Linked DNA regions of Drosophila melanogaster. The protein of the gene in region 2 purifies or fractionates together with the protein of the main gene of each other region. This does not show direct contact. Each region holds a gene or a part of one and is shown on either strand. Other genes may lie near its edges. The genes, in order: CG13484 and ldbr.

Region 1 (3,468 bases), 5.9 Mb from region 2:
TATGTGAAGCCGCGAAAGGAGGTCACCGACTACCGCACCAGCGTGTCCGGCATTCGGCCGCAGGACATCGCTAACGGTGAGGACTTTGCCGCCGTGCAAAACGAAGTGATGAAGCTGATACATGGCCGCATTCTGGTGGGACACGGCCTGCGCAACGATCTTGCCGTACTGGGCATCCGCCATCCGTTCCATGACATTCGTGATACGTCGCATTATAAGCCGCTGTGCAAACTCATCTCTAATACCCACACGCCCAGCTTAAAACGCCTGACAAAGGCCGTTCTGGGTCAGGAGATCCAAACGGGCGAGCATAATTCCGTGGAGGATGCACGTGCCGCCATGGGTATCTACAATCGCGTTGCCGTCGACTGGGAGAAGTATCTGGAGAAGAAGCGGCATCAACAGCAGCACTATTAGCAGCTCACTCGGGGAGCCCCATTGCACTGAGGGGTGTTCCATTACGGTAGTCTTAAATTTTTAAGTATACACACGGGTTTCATTCACGTGAAACTGTTGCTTAAATGTATAAAATGTTACAACCTTAGCCATAGTTCTTTCTTGAAGGCATCGGAGCGGTTTTCAGCACGTAATGTGCCACTCAAAAGCAGGCTCGGATCTCATGATGAAACCATTTTTATGTTTACACATTCTTTTGTTTAATATCGGAAAGCTAAAATTAAAATTCTTTCTTTGCTTTGGGGAAATTATCCTACAGGGCTTAACTAGCTCTTAGTGTTGTATTCTACATTTTAGGAAGCCGCCACCTCTTTCGGTGAAGTTCGGCTAGTACTGGGTCCGTGGATGGCCTCGTGCCGTTCCATTAGCTCCCGCCAAGGATCCTCCAGCATGGAGGGATGAAAGTACTGGCCGAAGGAGCTGCCGCTCTGGTTTTGTTCCCTGTTCTGGTGGCTCCTCGGATGATCCCAGTTCTGTTGGTTCCTGCGATTGAAGCTGCCGCCGCGTCCGAAATTCCTGCCCTGACCGTAGGGCCGATGGCGCTGCGGCTCCTGTGGGGATTTGTTCTGGTAGAAATGAGGAACATTTTGCTGGCCCTGTTTGTCCTCGTAGAAGCCAACGTTTGGATTTTGTGGCTTCTGCTGGCCACCGAATTGCTGCGCTCTGTAATCCGCGGACTGCGATGGGTACTGGCCGCCTTGTGGGCAGTAGGGCGGCAGGTTGTTATAGTTCTTGCGAGGGGTGCTCATGATTGCAGTCGTTAAAGCTTATTTAAGCCAATAATGGCTTATTTCCTTGGATCCGAAATGTAAAACAAATGTTTTTTTATTTTAAGTGCGACCGTTGGCAATTACCACAAAAATGCATATTAATTAAATCAACTGGCTTAAAACTTTGCTAAGCGCAGTTTTCGGCACATTTAGGGTGTTTTCCCGCCAGTCTTTGGTTTCCGTGCGCAGACCCAGTTCGGTCACACTGTCCCGAATATTCGTGTAGCGCGGTTGTCGTGCGGTCGGTCGGCAAAATAAAGTGCATTTAACTGCAGTTGCTCTCGGTTCCCACACTTATCGCCCACAGACCGAGTCTAATGCGGTGTGTAAGGCAAATTGCAAGCAATTCGCACGTCCCTCGCTCGGAAAAACCTGCAAACAAAGCACAAGAGGCGTCGCCTGCCGCAGGAGCCTTTCATCGAAATCTGGTCCTTTGTCTGTGTTTGTGTGCCTGCATCCGTGTCTTGCTGTAGGTGTGTGTGTGTGTGAGTGCTAGTGGCTGTGTGCCTGTGTGAGTGCCGCCGTTGCACCACCAGCAACAACAACAGCAACAACAGTAGCAACAAATTGTGTTTTTGCTTACATTGTCAGAAAGAAGTAAATTAAATTATCAAAATTTTGGAACACAGCACTTTTTACACTTACTTTCAAAACAAAAAAAAAAAATAAATAAATTAAACAAAAAACAAAAAAGGCAACCAAAAATAAGAAAACACACGCCCGGAAAATAGTCACTTTCGATTGGCCAGTTGTTCTGAGCGTTCGATAGCAGAGAAACAGGCAGCAGCCGCTTTGGATATCTTCAACGGAATCAAAGAGCAACTTTCAAGTTGCCCGGAACGCACGCGTGCCCTTTGCCGGACTGTATGGGGTACCCTCTCGCTGTCCCTTAGCACTGCGCTCCAAGCGGCGACCATCGAGGACGCCATCGGCGGCGGAGGATCCGGATCCCGGGGATTACAGGATCCAGGGGGAGGAGGCGGCGGAGGAGGAGGAGGAGGCGGCTCCGTCTCCGGCTCGGTTTCGGGCTCTGGTCGCTTTGCCACCATAATGGGCGCCGTCAAATCGCGAACCATCACCAGCGCTGATGTGGACGCCGATGAGCAGCTGCAGCATCCCCATTCGCATGCGCACCATCACTCGATGCGCAATGGCCACCAGCACAACGGTTCCATCTCTAGCGGCACGCTGCAGAAACAGGATCTGCGCTACGACATCGGCTGCAGTTCCCAGTACCAACATGTCAGGCAGCCGAGCCTGCGGAGCCGGAGCCAGCAACCCATGCCCACCACAGATGAGCTGGACCGACGATTCGCCAAAGTGCTGGTAAGTTAATCCGAATACCATGACAAAAAAAAAACTTAGGTATTAAAATATGGCTTAAAGAACAATTTTATACTTTCATTAAATTCATTATAATTTGCTAAATTTTAGATATACAAATTTATTTATTTATTTTTACCTATTTTACGCTCCATGTACCATTCAAATCCTAAATGACAGGAAAGTCTCAAAGAAATATATTTCAAATATACATTTATACTTCAAAGATTTAAAAAATATAATTCCTTTCTGCCAAGTTTAAAAATAACGCCTTGTAGAATTAATTAACTAGCAATCCCTTTCCAAAAAGCATTGCATAGTTTTTGGCAAATAAAATTCCTTTCATTTATTAGCTTACAATATGTTTCATACATATATTTTGTATAACATACGATTTTAATATACATTTCTGTTTATGAACGAGTAAGCTATTTTGGGTGATCAGCTTGGTATCAAGAAATAAATTTAAATAAATAAATGGAAATGCGTAAATGGTTCTAGAATACAAATCTATCTGGAAAAATCTTTTTCACGCTGTTAAGCTTTAATAGTCGAATCGAATGTTTAGAAACAAATACACCCCCTCTTCTGAATCGGTGATATTTTTTAATACACTAGAAGAAATGTTTGTTTATGTTCAAAAATCCATTTGAAAAATTGAGTTTGCTTGGCGAATGTAGTAGCTGGTATATAGAAAGAAGCTTAAGGATTGGCTTCCTGCCCCAGCCCGTTTTTTTCCGCCCTCGCATTTGTTGCATGTGATTGATGACCTCATCGAGTGTGCGGCGACTTGTTCGCTTGAATTTTTGTCAGCCACACACACACACTTGTGGAAACGTGAGTGTTCGCTGGTGTTTGTGAGTATCTCTGAGTTTGTATCTGCGCCTCTCCCCAGTTCAACTCGATTCAGTCCCGTTCT
Region 2 (4,325 bases):
CCGGGCAAATCACGCCAGCTTCAATGCGAATTTGCAGCATCTGCGTCAATTGACGGATGAGCTGACCTACCGGGATCTGCACCTCCGCGAGGAGCTCTTTCGCAACGTGGGAAGCCATCGGGCACCCTGCAGCTACATGCATATATTCGAGGATGATCGCTTCTCCATGAGCCTGTTTATAGTGCGCGGAGCGAGCACTATTCCCTTGCACGATCACCCCATGATGTTCGGTCTGCTGCGCTGCATCTGGGGTCAGCTAATGGTGGACAGCTTTTCGCACCAGTTAGGCCCGGATGAGCCGCTCACCTATGACCCCCATCAAACAGTGGTGAAGGTGAATGTCGAGGAACCCAAATTGGTCACGCCGGCTAGTCCGTGTGCCACATTGACTCCTAGAAAGAGAAATTACCACCAGATTGCCCAAATTGGTAGCGGCGTAGCCGCTTTCTTCGACATTCTTAGTCCGCCATACGATGCGGATATGCCAACATATGGACCGCGACAGTGTCGCTTCTATCGCGCCACGGCAGAGGGCAGCCAGGTGCAGCTGCACTGCATCCCATCACCGGATACATACTATTGCGATGTTGTGGACACGCCCGAATCGGTGATGCAGGCCGCTTTTCAGTGCGCCGACGAGGTCTATGCCGATAATGCCAGCGGGACACAGTGAGTCGTTATCTCGCTTCCCAGCAGCTAACACCCTCCTATTTATTTGCCCATAATCAACCGTTGGCTGATCGTATCAGCCAAGTATCTTCTGTGTTATTTAAATAAAATTGCCTCCTTTTTTTGTATAAATCGCTCCGCTTTCACGGAATTTGTTTGGGTTTAATCTTCTTGCGCTTGGTAAATGTTCTGATTGCGTCGCTTAAGTTTTTTCACATTGGGACTAGCGGGCACTGATGCAGGTTCCTCTACATGAGGCGTTTCCGTTGCTATAATTGCTTCTTCAGCTTCCTCCTCGGGCAGGTCTATCACGTTTTCATCGGTGGTATCAGCTGCTGCAGTTGTAGGTGCTGGCAGGGATAAGTTAAGTTTCCTTTTAGTTGGCGTAACCAATGGTTCAGCCACGTCTTCTTCCACCGCCTGCAGCTTAGAACTTTTTGTTTCCCTATCCTTGCATTCGGTAGCTCCCACCGCAGGCAGATCTAGGCCATTCGCCAACAAAACTAAGCACAGCGGATCGTCTATACCCAGAGTGGCACAGAACGTATTGCTCTGGGGGTTTAGTTGAACCTTGGGTTGATCCACAAACATGTGCTTATAATCAGACTGCTCCGCGGGATCGAAAGCTGGCACTGTGCGCTCAAAGTTCTCGGGGACTTGAAGTTTCTGAAACTTTGCGGTCACTGCTTCTAGTTCTTCTTCAGTGGGGGTAAAGTTTGATCGCTCTGTAAACTCTCCCGCCTTTTTTCCGGGCAGGTAATAATAATTCTCCTTCACTGAAATCAAGTGATTTGTACTGTGCAAGATGGCTAGCCACTCTGCGTCGTATTCCAGGCGGGGAGTGCCTTCGATGGGGTCACTGGGTACCTCTACCACTTGCAGGAAAGCACGACGTGGCAGGCATTTGTCGAGAGCCAGAAACTTGGTCACGGGAACAGATTTGGATGGTGGAGGTACAGGAGCAGCTTTCTTTACCTTCTCCCTTTCCTCGTCTTCATCTTCACTGCTGCTGCTGGAAGAGGAAGATTCAGCATCTCCTAGCTTCTGGCTGTGATTGTGCGGCACCAAAGCGGCAAACTTGCAATGCAAATGGGCAGCAAACCAGTAGGCCGGTTGGACCGCTTTCAGTAACTCCTCCAGTGGCTGGCTACCCAGCTTCCCGCTTTCCATGTCTGCAGCAAAAAATGGTTTCTTGCGGAGCAGTTGCGCCTTGTTTCCGTATTCATAGATGCCGGTGGGCCAGTCGTGGGACAGGAAAATATCAACTCGCCCGGAAATTTGTTTCAGCCGAAAGACTTCTAGCTGCCGCACATGGTAGACACTGCGACACGTGGAATCGGTATACGGAGGGAATTCGTGATGGCCGCGCAAAAAGTCGTGACCCTTGAAGATTCCGCTTATTCCAGCTATCCGAACACCGTTTACATTGACGACGCCGGCATAACCAAGGTAGTAAATATTTGGAGCCACCCAACCGCCGTATGGGAGCTCCTGCAGGTAATTGGAGGCCTCATGGTTGCCGCCAATGAATATGGTCAGCACTGGTGCTACCAGCTCGCCACTGTAGTATCTTTAAAAATAAATGGATTACCTCCTGATCCACAAGCTGTCGAAACTCTACTCACTTGTAAAAGGAGCACATATCCAGGTACTTCTTTGGTACAGCCATCGTCTGCAAATCCTCCAGATTCCGGGTGGACTGAAAATCGCCACAGCACAATAACAAGTCGATCTTGGTGCCGCCAACCTTTTCGATGCCCTCTATGGTGTCGTATATTCGTTCCAGCTCGCCATGTGCACATCCTTCGACAGCTATTTTCATGGTTAATAAAGGTAAGTTACTACTTTATAAATAAAACTTGGTTGTAAACAAATGCAACCGGTTGTCCAAACAAATAACGCGTTCTGATATCGCTTATCGATCGGCAATTCAGTGTGAGAAAACGTCTTTGGGGAACGACAGGATGGACGCTCTTATCGATAACTCTACTTAATGACCGCCAATATTTAAACTGCTGAAATCTTCCGGAAACAAAGTCTTTCAGCACTTAGCATTATTAAATATAATTATATATATTAGATGTACTTATAAAATTCGTTCCCTGAACGGTTTAAATACCTCACAAAAAGGTACACAAATAAGAAAAAGATTTCTCCAGTTCAAACGTTAAAAATTTTTTTTTTTTATTTTTCAAAAATATCGCTTCATTTAGTACAGAATATACGTGTATGTGTGTATAAAGAAAATGTATGTGAAATGCTCTGCGTTGAATTCTCATTCTCTGACCTAGATGCCAACTTTTTTTTGGAGTTCTACGGGGGCGTGCTGGTGGGCACAATCTCATTTAATGAGACCTTCTCGTCCTGACGTGTTTGTTTTTCGTTTCGTTTCGTTTCGTTTACATACAAAGATTTACAATGGACTTAAGTTATCATAATTTAGTTGGCCGCCCTGGCCACAAAATAGGAAATAAAATATAAATCTACAATAAATATAGTGCGGTCTCGTCGCCGCTCGACCGATCGATTTTTTAATCTGATTAATCGACCGATTGTCGCAGCATACATGGGTACACGGAGTGTACGAAAACCAAGAGAATGCCTTCAAAGCCATCATCAGCATGCCAGATGTATTTTGTTTGATGTTTTTGTTATTTTTGGAAAGAATATGAGAAACAATCAAGTCAGAAATCGAACCAAGTGTCTGGTGATCTGGTCAATTCAGTTTCTTAGGAGCCGAACTTAAACGACGTGGGCACGGCAGTCTGCGGAAAGGCGAAGCCACCTTGCTTCTCGATCAGCTTCGATTCCTTGGCGGCTTTGCGTTGGTCAGCCGTCACCACCACCTCTTGCAGCGCCTTGGCTTGCTCAGGTGTGAGGTTGGAGGTCAACAGCGCATACCAGGCTTGGTCTTGTGCAGAAAGTGCTGATGGCGAAGATTAGGTTATTAGTTAGTTTTCCAATGGTGTACAAAATTCAGCACAACTTACCAGTAATAACTTCCTTAAACGTCCAGTACTCATCGATGGCGCTTTCGTTCTCCTCATCGTCGATGGGCGTGGTAAACGACTCCAGTCCAGTCTCGTTCAGATCACCCACAGACTCCTCGGCGTCACCGTCCGAGTCAGCATCGTCGTCCTTGATTTCGGCTTTCACTTCGAAGCCCGACTCATTGCCCTTGGTTTTGGCAAATTCGGCCAATTTATCCAGATAGTCCGGTGCCATTTCGTCCATGTCATCCTCGTCACTGGACAGAGCCTCCTCACAGTCGTCACCGTCCTCCTCCTCCTCATCTTCCTCTTCCTCCTGAGCACGAGACTCGTAGGCGCGTTTTAGACCATCGAAAAGCAAAATAAGTGCGGGCACAATCTTTCCAGCCACTTCGCTCAGAACCTGGGGCTTGGCTTCGCCCAGCGAGATGAGGGTGCACAGACCCAGGACGCAAAGTTTGCGATCGTGGATGCTGGAAAACGTAACAATAAACTATCTAGATCATTAAAAAGCATGTCCATTCTTACCCTAGGAAACAGTCCGTGTCGTGAAGCCACTGCTTGATAAAGTGCGCGCTGATAGAGTCGTTGTTTTGCTGGGACATTTTGTCCAGAATGGACAGCAGCAACTGGGGATTATAGTAGAGTGCCGCGATTACCACTTGC

The links.
Region 1: the proteins of ldbr (region 2) and CG13484 purify together in Drosophila melanogaster (affinity purification with mass spectrometry, with the first as the bait; one large-scale study listed by BioGRID). This does not show direct contact.

The regions. Positions count from the first base shown.
Region 1 is NT_037436.4:14,051,792-14,055,259, forward strand, and holds CG13484 (uncharacterized protein), read right to left. Parts: upstream 1,289-3,468; 5' UTR 1,206-1,288; coding exon 750-1,205; 3' UTR 637-749; downstream 1-636. Other genes in the region: CG6833 (uncharacterized protein), read left to right, coding at 1-417; Frl (Formin-like), read left to right, coding at 2,277-2,552.
Region 2 is NT_037436.4:8,120,085-8,124,409, reverse strand, and holds ldbr (lariat debranching enzyme), read right to left. Parts: upstream 2,584-4,325; 5' UTR 2,492-2,583; coding exon 2,295-2,491; intron 2,240-2,294; coding exon 832-2,239; 3' UTR 795-831; downstream 1-794. Other genes in the region: CG7550 (uncharacterized protein), read left to right, coding at 1-673; msk (moleskin), read right to left, coding at 3,399-3,595, 3,660-4,132, 4,188-4,325. UniProt on the Drosophila melanogaster protein: Cleaves the 2'-5' phosphodiester linkage at the branch point of lariat intron pre-mRNAs after splicing and converts them into linear molecules that are subsequently degraded. It thereby facilitates ribonucleotide turnover.